Linked DNA regions of Neodiprion lecontei. The protein of the gene in region 1 purifies or fractionates together with the protein of each later gene. This does not show direct contact. Links are inferred from orthologs where the notes say so. Each region holds a gene or a part of one and is shown in the gene's direction. Other genes may lie near its edges.

The links.
Region 2: the proteins of protein kibra (region 1) and merlin purify together in Drosophila melanogaster (affinity purification with western blotting; 3 studies listed by BioGRID). This does not show direct contact. The link is inferred for Neodiprion lecontei from reciprocal best matches to the Drosophila melanogaster genes kibra and Mer.

What each region holds. Positions count from the first base shown.
Region 1 is NC_060265.1:8,749,005-8,754,002, forward strand, and holds the start of protein kibra, read left to right. Parts: upstream 1-1,809; 5' UTR 1,810-2,398; exon of another isoform or gene 2,399-2,479; 5' UTR 2,480-2,492; coding exon 2,493-2,620; intron 2,621-4,998. UniProt on the Drosophila melanogaster protein: Regulator of the Hippo/SWH (Sav/Wts/Hpo) signaling pathway, a signaling pathway that plays a pivotal role in organ size control and tumor suppression by restricting proliferation and promoting apoptosis.
Region 2 is NC_060262.1:33,686,304-33,694,359, reverse strand, and holds the start of merlin, read left to right. Parts: upstream 1-1,896; 5' UTR 1,897-2,057; coding exon 2,058-2,156; intron 2,157-2,281; coding exon 2,282-2,411; intron 2,412-3,177; coding exon 3,178-3,383; intron 3,384-3,627; coding exon 3,628-3,855; intron 3,856-4,133; coding exon 4,134-4,552; intron 4,553-5,187; coding exon 5,188-5,317; intron 5,318-5,423; coding exon 5,424-5,759; intron 5,760-5,930; coding exon 5,931-6,308; 3' UTR 6,309-8,056. Other genes in the region: peroxisome assembly protein 12, read right to left, coding at 36-404, 525-718, 804-912, 991-1,110. UniProt on the Drosophila melanogaster protein: Regulator of the Hippo/SWH (Sav/Wts/Hpo) signaling pathway, a signaling pathway that plays a pivotal role in organ size control and tumor suppression by restricting proliferation and promoting apoptosis.

The sequences.
Region 1 (4,998 bases):
GGATCAAAAATCGGGACACTACATGTTAGACACTGTGTATGTAGAACCGGGATCTGTATTCTATAGATATAGCAACACTACACATGCAATATTCATTTGAGAAATATCTTTCCCAAGACTGCCTCTAGGCGCGTGGCCCTTGGCCGTGGATCCGTCAGGCTTCACAGTTTATGCGTGGTTCGTATGCTCAACCATTTTATATGCGCTCACCTTCATATTGCATGTGAATGAAATGAGTTATGTGTTGTACAGGACGAAACGACAAGGTGAATTTAATTTACGCGCGGCTTCTATTGGACAGCAAAATCATGTGATCACGGTCGAACGATTTTGTAGAAAATCAATCTACTCGAGAATTTCAGCCTTTTCCTTGGCTTTCGTACAGCATAATTAATGCTCTACGAAATCTACAGGCACCCGAATGCTCGCCCTCGTTTCAAATATCGAGGATCCTGCACGGTGCATTTGAATTTGTGCATATATTCACGAATCGTCAACAGGTGCTGCAGACCATCTGGAATTGCATCTCACGACAGAATATAGCAAACTGACTCATCGACCGATTGCCGACTAAGATTCCATCTTAAAAATTATCCACAGAATCAAAAATACCCAAGGCAATGAATACGAGTATTTGAACGTGGGAAGAGATAATTCCTTGTATATATTCGTCGATGAAACTCGAATTCCGTATTAAATTATACACGGAGGCGAAATGAGTTGGAATAAAGTACAGATAAAAAAAAAAAAAAAAATGAATAAATAAAAATAAAAATAAAAAAACGGCGGACACACGTCGCTGTGATGACGGCGTCAGCTAGTAATAGCGGGCGGGTTTATTCGTCCCTGCGTAAGACAGCAGCGAGCGAGGGGTATAAAAATGAGAAAAAACGAAGAAAACAAACGTAGAACGAAGGAAAAAAAAAATAACGAAAAAAAACGACAAACGTGTTAGCATTCCTCGGCAGGTTGTAGAATCGGCGCGCAGAGGGCGCAGCGATCGTCGTGTGACGGAACAATTCCGAGGCATGTGTGGCGTATTTGGCTTCTCAGCCGCGTAGTAGGGTGAGAGTTGCGCCGAGAGTTGCACCTGTCATGAAATTCTCTTATCGTACGGTGGCGCCGTACAAATCGTATCTGAAAATATTCGAATTTCTCGCGTAAAGGGCAACGCCGGTGTTCGGCTTTCTCCGCTGAGATTCGTGCGCAGCGGTCAGAGACACGAGAACGCATCGCGTGGTGGGGACGGATTCCAAAGCGCGGAGAGCGGCCGCATGAGCCGAAGGTATCAGGCATGTCTCAAACTCCGAACATGCTCCTAGGTAGCAAGAGCTAAGAGATAGCAAGACCGGGTACATCTTGCTTTTGAGCCGGTACTCACTTTTTTTCACCTCCTATTATCGAAACTAACGTTCGGCGATTGTTTTCTTCTGTTATCAATATCAAACTCCTATCGTCGAATCGGTTGTTGTTTGTTTGTTGTTTTTTTTTTGTTTTTTTTTTTGGGTTTTTCGCTCTATTCGAAGCGTTTTGCACTTGGACCGATATCAAGTTACACACGATCCTTACATGTTTAAAACCAAACTATTGTCACCCCGTCAACGATCAATCTTCTACGTCATGGAGGGAGGCAGGGAATCGACGGGGATTAAAATCGTAATTACGACCACAGAGTAAAGAGGTTTTTATCCGTTCTATTCTAAACAGTATTACGAAGCATGTGCATAATAAAATCGCCGAGATAGGGTGGAAAGATCGTCGGAAAGATTCCTCGTGTTTTCGACGGTGGGGGGGTGGGGGGGAGGGGGGCGGGGGGTTGAACGTTCAACACATTCGATATTGATGATAATAACATAAACAAACGAATAAAGAAAGAGAGTAACGAAGAAAAATACTAGTGTCCGAAAGTGTTGGGTGAAGTTGTTCGTTTGAATTTAAAAAAAAAAATGCATAAATAAGAAAGCAAAAAAAAAAAGTGACAGTGCCGAATAGTGTTGAATACGGAGTGTGTGCAGTGGTGGCCTTTTACCGGTATACTTAAACACGTATAGTATAATAAAAAGCAAAAACAAGTTTACTTCTTTCAAATAGAAACGTACTAGCGGTGAAATTTTTTTTACAGCAATAACTGAGAAAGCTAGAGCAAGACAGAGATAGAGAGGGAGATGCTTAGGAGTGATGATCAGACGAAGGGTGAACCTAATCGTTGAACGCATAATCGAGCGGGTAATGCTGTGCGAATGAATAAATAAAGAGTTTCGATACCGGGGGTCGTCTCGACGAGGAGGAGGACGACGACTACTATGTCAATACTCGCATACCGTTCGCGAGGCGTCTGAACGGTGCCGGGATTGGTCGTTCGGGGCGGTGTGACGTCACTCCCGCTCATGATAATGAGGTATTCAAGATGGCGGCGGGCGAGTAGCTAGTGTTTTACGTGTGTGTGATACCAGTTGGTGATACCTTTGGATGGATTTAGAGCTAAGTGAAATATGCCAAGGAGAAGAAATGGGGAGATACCGCTTCCGGACGGCTGGGATGTCGCCAGAGACTTCGACGGGAAGGTATATTTCATCGATCATAACACGAGGAAGACGACTTGGATCGACCCGAGAGACAGGTACGTTCGTTTGTGTATATTACCTACCATGCAGCAGCCCGCCTCGCGTTTTTTCCTCTTTTCATTCCTCTTCCCTCCTCCCTCTCTCTCTCTCTCTCTCTCCCCTTTCGTTTCTCTTTCGTCCATTTATCCATCCATCTATCTATCCGTACATCCGTCCGTCTATCTATCACAAAAACAACGACGAATCGGCCTCCGCGTGTCCGACTATCTTCTTCCTACTTCTGCTGCTACTTTTGCCGCCGCGCCGCTTGTCGGCGATGCTGATGTTCTCCTTGTCGCTTCTCGGCTTCGTCGTCGTCGTCGTTCCGAGGCGTGCGTCTTTGCTTGTGTTGGTTGCGTACGTTACCTCGCTCCGCTCCGTTCACACACGCGCGCCGCGCCCGCATTCCATGCAACAGGGCCGCACTTACAACGCCCGATTGTAACGCGGCGAATCCGAATGAAGTATCCTCTTTTCGTTCTTTCTCCGTTCTTTCTCTCGTCTATTGCCGTTTCGATTCTATGCTCGATTTTCGACATTATTAGCAGCGCCTCGCTTTAATTTCACTCCTCTTTTCAATGTTCGGATACACGCTTATTACACGTCACTGTAGGACTTGTATAACGTTCGAATGGCTGCTCGATTTCGATCCATTCGAATCTTGGCACGGTGAGAAATTTTTATTTCTTTCCTTCTTTTTTACTTTTATTTTTTTTATTTTATTTTATTTTAATTTTTTTGTGTAAAGTTGATCAATTTCTACATTAATCTTGACGACTAATATGTCTCACGTATACGCGTGTACGTAACGTTTCGAACTGGTGTTGTAAATTTTTCTAGACGGATTTTTCCTCGTTTTGCATCTTTTCATCATCTTTCCTTCTACTTCTCTATCTTTATCTCTATCTCTATCTATATATCTCTCTCTCTCTCTCCACTTGACGTTCAAGGCCACGTGGTCTCACTCCGCATGCCGCGCCGTTTACAGCTGTTCCCCGAAATTTTTCGACCGTAGATCATACTTAAATCATACTGTAACAGCATGGATGTATGTACAGATTTTAATTCTAAACCGAACTTCGCCTTGACTCGAATACATCCGGCAATGAGTCGAGAAAAACATTCGAATTATATCAACGAGGCTCGAATTGAATGATACGAAATTCTCGCTTTTTCGTTGCAATACGATATTTTACATATGTATCGTATCGACGATGCCGAAGGGCAAACCTAAACGAATCTGAAGTTAGTAAAGTCAACGTATAAAGAAATATAAGAGAAAAAACTTGTTATTGTGCAATTTTAGGACGACTCTCGAGGAGTTGGCTTTACAAAACGTGAGCATGTTTCGTTCTTTTATGGTTTACTAAATTTCGGACAATCCCAAAGTGGCGAAGTAGCGATTTTTTTCTGAACACGCATCGTTGCAGTAACGTTACTAGTAATTGCGTACGGAACAACGCGGATCGTTGAGTGCAGAATTATCAGATCTTGATGGTTGACATGATTAGATCGATCGTTCGTATTGCATTACACACCTATGTAACAAGCATGTGGATTATTAAAGGACGATTTACAATTAGACGTCAACGATGGAGAAATATTATTGTCAAGCTCTGAGCTTATAATATGCAGATAGCTCTGTCTATGCAAATTCTTGTATAGAGGTTATGTATACACATATACATTATATATTGGATGCATTCTTAAATAACCCTCTGCTTATGCCGCTTCTGCTGATGTAGATTAAAGTTGTTCTCGAGATTGGCGTGTCGCAGTTTGAAGTGATGATCGTGTACAATTATTCTGAGGACAGATCAAGACAAATGTGCTGCGCACGAGATCCCCCGACTTTACGTCTGCGTAGTAAATTATTCTACCTATAGACGTTATAATTAAAACAAAAAATTTGCCTTGGATAAATGTCACCGCGGCTTTTCAACAACTGTGACACGTTTTTTATCCCTATACAAAGCGCATTTTTAAATTATAATATTGGAAAACGCGTTCGATTCTAATAAAAAATACAACAAATAACGAATTTTATTCTTTATTCGATCGTTATTTAACTCTAAACAAATTTCAAGTATTTTGCAATATTTCTTTGTGCAATACATGCTATACGGTATTATTATATGTATAAAAATGAATCGCCATAATTTTTGTACATCATTACACATATGATCCTCTGTGTGATTAATATTTTCAATAATTTGTATTACAAAAAACTTTTGTACAATCATTTTTCTCGTCTTCTCTGTATATTTATACGCGTACCGTTTATTATTCAACGTTCTTTTTATTTCGTTCAATTTCATTACCCGCGTATACACGATGCATGTATAATTCATTTCGGAAGAAAGAAATTAGCCGGTTAGCTAGACACGACGGTATA
Region 2 (8,056 bases), on another chromosome or scaffold:
TGTTGAAGACAAATGTAAGTATACCTTTCATTTACCTCAGGAGGCACAGGTGTAGGCAGAGCCATCAGGTTTACGTAATAATTTTCTTGATTCCACCATCGAAGAAACTGGAGAAAGAAAGCTCCAAATTCAAGTGATCTAGTAAAAAGCATTCCAAACAAATCTATGCCATTACTGAAGGTCAATGTTCCGAGTCTTATCTTCATGAGAAGGTCAGTGATGGTGAGGAATTTTTTACCATCTGCGTAAGACAATGTAACAGAAGCCAGCCAAAGAAGCGGAGTTGAATATTCTGACCGTCCAGCCATGTACCTCAGGTACCGATAGAGTATTAGGCATTCATAAATAACATGAAATATCATGTTTCCATTTATTACCAATTTCCTTACAAGTTTCTGCCATCGCTGAAAAAAATTAGTTATTTAAATAATGTGGAACAAATTAAAGTGTTTGTACTGTTGATGACAACAAAAAGCATATTCAAAGCTTATAAATTATATAAATAGCTTTTCGAATTCACGTACCTTCTGAGGTATTTTACCATCAGCAACTTCCAATTTATATTCTTCCGCAAGCCTAAATAATTTGGTTCTGAAGTGCGGAAAGACGACTAACAGCAATAAAGAAATTTTCTCTTGCTTAGTAGATAACTTTCCATCTGAACCTGCCACGACTGAAGAACGTTTCAACCCATAAAATGTTTCGGAGAATGATGCCGCTGAAATAAATATGGATTTGATTAGGCTGACGAATATTTGGAGAAATTAGTTAGAAACGTAAAAAAAATTGCTCAATATATTTACAATATTTTTTGAGATAGTGATATTGTAGAGCGGCATTAAAAACCAGATACGCCTCATCGCACCATCTTTCAAGCCATCCATATCGATGTGGATTGACCAACACCAAATACTGAAATACTGTGTATAAGATTCACTATGTAACAAATTACAGGATAATAATAATGAAAAAAACGAGCCTGCGACGTACCGAGATGATTTTTTTGAAGACTGGCTCGAGTGTAGAGGCTAAAGATTCTTGCGCAACAATTTCAAAAATCGAGGGTTTAGCCTTGACTGTATCCGTTAAATACGCTCCTTTTTCAGCCATAACTATTGTTGTCTAATAATAAACCATAACACGCTCCGTAATGACGCTACTATTTTCATTCATAAAATATACATGAAAGCAATTGGCTATGTTATGTTGATTTTTGACCTGATAGAGTTCAAAGAGTTCAAGGTTAACAACTCCGTTCACTTGACCACCATGTTGAATTTTGTACCTGAAATCATTGAAATACGCGGCTTTTTATCAATGTTCAAAATCATCTCTTAGTTCCAGTATGTATTTGAATTGTTCCAACTTGACCATCGAAAACTTTAATATTTGTCACAGGTTACGGATCAATTTTGGTTAGAATGAATTTACAGAGACGCGTCAATTAAATCCATCAAAACGCGAGCTGTCAACCGCTTTGTGATTATGAATTTTCTGCAAATTTATTATGCTTATTTACGAAACTTTTGGCTAAAATAGCAATGGAATTAAATTGGATAAGATTCGATTTTTAATGCAGATAAATACCGATTCGGTATATAAGCGGACTACGGAGAAAATCTGTTTTAAAACATATTTGCATTTGTTAACCTCGAATTTAATAACTTCTCATACTTTGGCGAAGATTGTTGCATTTCCGGAAAATATATACTTAAAAAATTGGGCCAATTTCTAGAGGTAGTAGCAAGGCTTTTGGGTACAATTTTGTGTTACTGAAGTGAATATCTGACCTCTGAGATTAATTCGAGGGAAATTTGTATACGTAACAACCGATAGCAGCCGACAGCTAAGGTCAGTGTGAGAGAATGGTCGTTCGTGGGTGGTTCCAATTGCCTGTGTCAGATGTAGCTACTCTCGTGTCAAAGTGAGTGAGAGAAGACGGAGAAAAAAATACATAATGTTTTCTCTTGCGAGTGGGTCGACGTATATTCCTTATAAATAAATAAGTGATATGGTGAAGAAAAAAAATGTAATAATCGTGATGTCAAATAAATAAAATGAAGGATAAAATGCCACCGTTTCGTAGGAAAAAATCGGGGAAATCGTTTCCGGTGAAAGTCTGCACTTTGGACGCCGAGCTTGAGTTCAATTTGGAGGTTAGCTTCTGGAATCTATTGTTGCAAAACATTGTTCCCAAATTATACGAACAATGTGTTACGTAATGATTCCTATCCTCCATGTCATTCGAATGTTTTTCATTGTAAAATTCTCCCTTTCTTAGTGGCGAGCCACTGGGAGAGACTTATTTGATTTAGTGTGCCGAACTATTGGTCTCAGAGAGACCTGGTATTTTGGACTTCAGTATGAGGATGCCAAAGGATTTATTTCTTGGCTCAAGTTGGACAAGAAAGGTATCTCCCTCATTCTTTCCTCTATTTATCCTTTTAATTCGCAATTTTATTCAACGCTACCAAAAGAACTGCCTACACACCTACTTCCTGCTATTGAAAGAAAGTGAAGTCTTATTTTTTTTTCAATTTCCTGCCTAGCAGGTTTATTATACCTAACACAAGAGACTATGCACTGCAAATTCTGTTATTAGATCCCAAGAGATAATATAAGATGATAACAGTGATTTTAGGAAGATTTGTAATCTTGTTATTTTGTAATTTAAGCAAAGCTCAGTGCTCAATTCCTTGATTGATCTAAACTTATATTAAAGCTATTAGAATTTGGGTGCGTTTACGAATTTTCGAGAAAAGGCTCAATAGTTATATTCTTCTTACACCTGTGTCAAAACCAAGAGCACAAAATATGTTCTGGCATTGCACCAAACTTCCAGAGCAGGTGTAGTTAACATATTTTCGATGAAACCACTGGTAGGAGCCTTTCTCCATAGAACTGTCAATAATTTTTAGTCCATGCAGTTACTATGGGATTTAAGCGTTTTGCTTAGTTCTTCTGACTGCGGTCAAATATCTATGCATTTGAATTTTAGTACAAATACAAAACAATCGATCACTCATGCTAATCAATATTATGTCACGTGATAAAAAAAAGATTAACGAAAAAAAAATAGGTATGGTGGATGTGCAAGTAGGTAATGTTTCTGTGCTTTCTATCCTTCAATTAACACAAGTTAAAAACTTGGCACTTCATCTATGTATAAATTTCTAGTCCAGGACCAAGGAATTTCACAACAACCAACGACGCCGTTTATGTTTCTCGCAAAATTCTACCCTGAAGATGTGGCTGAGGAACTTGTTCAAGAGGTAACGCAACACTTGTTCTTTTTGCAAGTGAAGCAAGCCATTTTGTCTATGGATATTTACTGTCCACCTGAAGCCTCTGTACTACTTGCGTCGTATGCCGTGCAAGCGAAGGTAATCGAAATTTTTATTGTTAACTAGTGTGATTTTTAGTAACGTGTTGTTCACAGTTTATTACTATCTGGTTCGTATATCAGGTTTTCTCACTTTGAGATTGCCTCGCTTACAAAGCACCTTTAAAACTGCTGAAGAAGTCCAGAGTGTAAAAATATTGAGTAAAATCTGTCGAGGAGATGTCAAAATGTATCATCACTATATTGATAATGAATACCTGTGGGTGTTATTATATTAAACCTAGTATGGTGATTACGACGAGGTATCATACCGGCCAGGAATGCTGGCTAGCGAAGATCTTCTGCCACAACGAGTGATTGACCAATATCAAATGACTCCTGAAATGTGGGAAGATAGAATCAAGATTTGGTACGCTGATCACCGTGGAATGTCTCGTGACGAGGCTGAAATGGAATATCTAAAGATTGCCCAAGATCTGGATATGTATGGCGTCAACTATTTTCCTATTAGCGTAAGTATGAAAGATATAATTCATTTAATACTTACCGACGTATTCTCAAAGACAGAAAATATTGTATGTTTGATAAATTGGGCAAGTGCATAACTCTACTTCTTCAAATTCATGGACCATTGGCAAATCAACTACAAAGCGGCAACAGATAAACTCTATAGCCTAAGTCTCTTCAAGCATCCTTCAGTCCATCTACATGTTCGATTTGTAGTGATCATAAAAAAAAATTTGACACCTTTTATATGTGGCAAATAACAGCACTTTTCTCTTCATTTTAGAACAAGAAGGAAACGGACTTGTGGCTCGGTGTTACAGCACTTGGGTTGAACATCTATGAGAAGGAGAATAAGCTGGCACCTAAGACAACTTTCACTTGGTCAGAGATCCGGCATATCAGCTTCGATGACAAGAAGTTTGTAATCAAACCTGTAGAGAAGTCGTCACCGAACTTTGTCTTCTTCTCGCAGAAAGTTCGCATGAACAAACTGGTAAAAAAACAGTCACATGTTGGCAGCTGGGTGAAGGGCTTGGTAGCTATAGGGGTCGACGAGCATTGTAGTGAAAAAGCCGCACGGTTCTTATTTGTTAAGATTCTGGACTTGTGCATTGGCAACCACGACCTCTTCATGCGTCGCCGTAAACCAGACTCAATGGAGGTACAGCAAATGAAAGCACAGGCCAAGGAAGAGAAATCTAGGTAAGCATAAGATTATCGAGACTTTTGTATGTACCATTAGCTTTTGCATCATTCCTAAATTAATACTTTTCAGAATTGTATTTCTTAGCACACAATTATTTTTATTTCACATATTAGTTGGTACAATTTGTCATGTACCTGGAAAGCTTATTTTCAGCTCACAAATATAACAACGGTCATTTCTGCATCATAACTCTTGATGTTTTTCAAACTGTGTTCCGTTCTGAATATTTTAACATATACCATAAAGAACTTATTATAATATTTATATATTTTATTTTGAAAGAGGAAAATTCGTCTAGTTATTGATCCATGGAGCAGAACCTGTAAATCTCGAACTTGCATTTGTTTGATTCAGTCATTTAACCTTGACCTCAAATACATTTGCAACATTATATTGCGCAGCAGTAATTAGGAAAAAGATAAAAACACATGTGGCATGTATTCAACAAAATAGTACAAAAGTATTTGTTTAAGGAATGATCTAATCAGTGCTTCTGCATAACACTTAACACGTGTGTTCTATTTCCTAACAGGTTTTCTAACACAATTGGTATATTGTGTTCTTTGTTTGTACTAATGTTGTCCCAGAGTGTCGTTGTTTTTCATATTGATACGAATTATTTTACATGTAGGAGGCAGATCGAAAGAAACAAACTGGCCCGGGAAAAACAGTTAAGAGAAGCTGCAGAAAGAGAAAAGGCAGCAATGGAACAACGGTTGTTACAGTATCAAGAAGAAATAAGACTTGCCAACGAAGCATTGGTAACATTTTTTTGGGTGTTAAAGATTTGTTAGCCAATTACCTATTCTGTTAACAACAAGTGGTAATGGCAACAAATTACTTGTCTCACCATACTTCTTATTACAGAGAAGATCTGAAGAGACAGCAGATCTGTTAGCAGAGAAGAGTCGCGTTGCTGAGGAAGAAGCTATGCTTTTAAGCCAAAAGGCAACGGAAGCAGAACAAGAGATAACTCGTATACGACTTAATAATATGAAAACGGAGGAAGAAAAAGTTCACCTAGAGAGAAAAACTCGTGAAGCTGAGCTTCTTACAGAGAGATTAGTTCAAGAATCGGAACGACGAGCAGCTGAAGCCGAAAAACTGAAAGATGAACTGCTACGTGCTCGAATTGCTGAAAAAGAGGCTAAGGAAAAGTTGCTGGAATTTTTGAGCAGAAATGCTTACAACGCATCTATCACTGTAAGTTTACATTCATTCTATTGAATTTTTTTTCTAAGATACACTATGCATGCAATAGTTTAATATAGTCTGATCCACTTTCAGCCTTCAAACAGTAGCAAATGGCTGAAAATTTGCACATATTACATTTTCACTACTAGTAAATAACGAATTCTTTTCTATTTACTTTAGCCTGTACCAAATTTATTCCCGTCAACACAAGTATTACCATCTGAACTACAGGCCGATCTTCAGACGTTGCAATTGGACGCAGAACCTCTTCCAGCGGACCTTACGTCATATGATCTTATTGCCGATGGAGATGTCGATCAATTGTCCCTTGAAATAGAAAAAGAACGGGTGGATTATTGGGAGAAAAGCAAGCATCTTCAAGAACAATTACGTGAATTACGATCTGAAATTGAGGTAATGAAGGTTGGTGAAAAGCAGTGTGAGCTGGACCAGCTACACGAGGAACAGGTGCGACTTGGTGAAAATAAATACAGTACGCTGAAAAAAGTGAAGTCTGGATCTACCAAAGCTCGAGTCGCATTTTTCGAAGAGCTTTAGGTATTTATTTTTTGAAATTACGGTTAAGAAAGATTAGATCATACGATAACCATTTCAATTGAAAAATATTTTTGTACAATAATCAGTGCCTATCTAGCTTAAACATTGCGTAATATCGATGTTTTGCTAACTGTATATACCCTAATTAAGTTGTAGATATTTTCTACAAATTTTTGACGTTTATTTTGGCCAAAATTTATAGCTTATCATTGTTACAAGAGAATTTCAGTCACGGAGAGCAGGCTTAACGATAAGCTCTACAGAGTTATTAATTATATACTTTGATAGAATCTATCAGATAGTTTTAGAAATAGGATGGATACAATTTGATATGGTAGAATTTATCTGCTTGAATTTCCTATTGGAGTTATCACTTTACGAAGATTTTTTTTCGTAAAACTTTTAATACCTATTTCTTATCTGCTTGTGAATAAAGGAACGTATTTATCATCAGACAAATATTCCGATACATAGATCATGCCACAAAGTTCCAATATTTTGTACAAGGTCATTAATTTCCAGGCGCTTGAAGTAAAGTCGTATTCGTAACAATTAGTCGAATCGTTGATATTCAGATAGAGCGTAATATAAGTATAATTTTGCCTATTAATTATGAGATATACCTTGCAAAAAATCACATAACATTTCAGGCTGTGGCATATGTATTTTTTCGCCAATTTTCGTAATGTTTCCGTAGTTGTTTTCTTCAGTCATTTTTTATTTAGTCAAGTAAAATTAATATTCCCTTCATACATTATTGTTAACGTTGATGAAGACGGTGTAATAGCTTCATAAGTTAACTATAATATGTAAGCCTTTAAAGAATGATCATAGGTATATAGCTCCGAGCACAAAAACGCATTACCATAGAGACATTATGAGTTCGTGTAATAGAATCTTAGGGTAAAAAATGATTCATATAGGTATGTTTATATTTCAGTGTTTGCATGGTATTTATTATTCAAAATGCAACGTTGATAGCCTTACTAATAGAAAACAATTCGAATGTGTTTACAAGGTAAAAAAGGTCGCTAAGAACAAAAACATCTGGTATAAGAAGGGTTACTTCAATTGGACACTTAACAAATGTTTATGCAGAATAATTTAGATTTTAATCTATATAGGTAAGAATGTTTCCTGATGCTGTTTAATCGGGTGAAAAGAACAAATATTTTATCTACCACGTAGACAAGATGTACACGTTATGCCGCCTAGAATAGTTGTATAGTAGTTATGAGTTATGATACTATTACACCTGATTTGAATTAGCACCTTGGATTTGCTTTTATCGCAATATTTTGGAAGTGATTTAAAGGATGTATATATCATTAGTAGTTCCTTCGAAAAGTTGCATGTGCGTGCAGAATGCTTACTTTTATCACCCATACAGAACAATAACTGGAGCTTTCCGTAATAATCAGACTACTCGTTCACCTTGTATTTAAAGGCTCTCATGAGACTCAAGTGGTGCTTTGTTCTCACAACCATACAGACTAATAAGAAAATGTCTGATAATTGGAGACGTCGAAAAACTCTAAAATATACGTTATTTTTACACAGTCCAATTATTGTGTGTAAAAAAACTTGACTCGTCTGTCGTGAAAATCTGGTACCATGTCAATAATAGTAATAAATATTGCCACATTATTTTGATTATTTGATTAACAGACTTTTTACAATCTCTTCAATTTACTCAACCAGTGGACCGTAAAATTCATCAGTTTATCATTTTCGGCAATCAATTATTA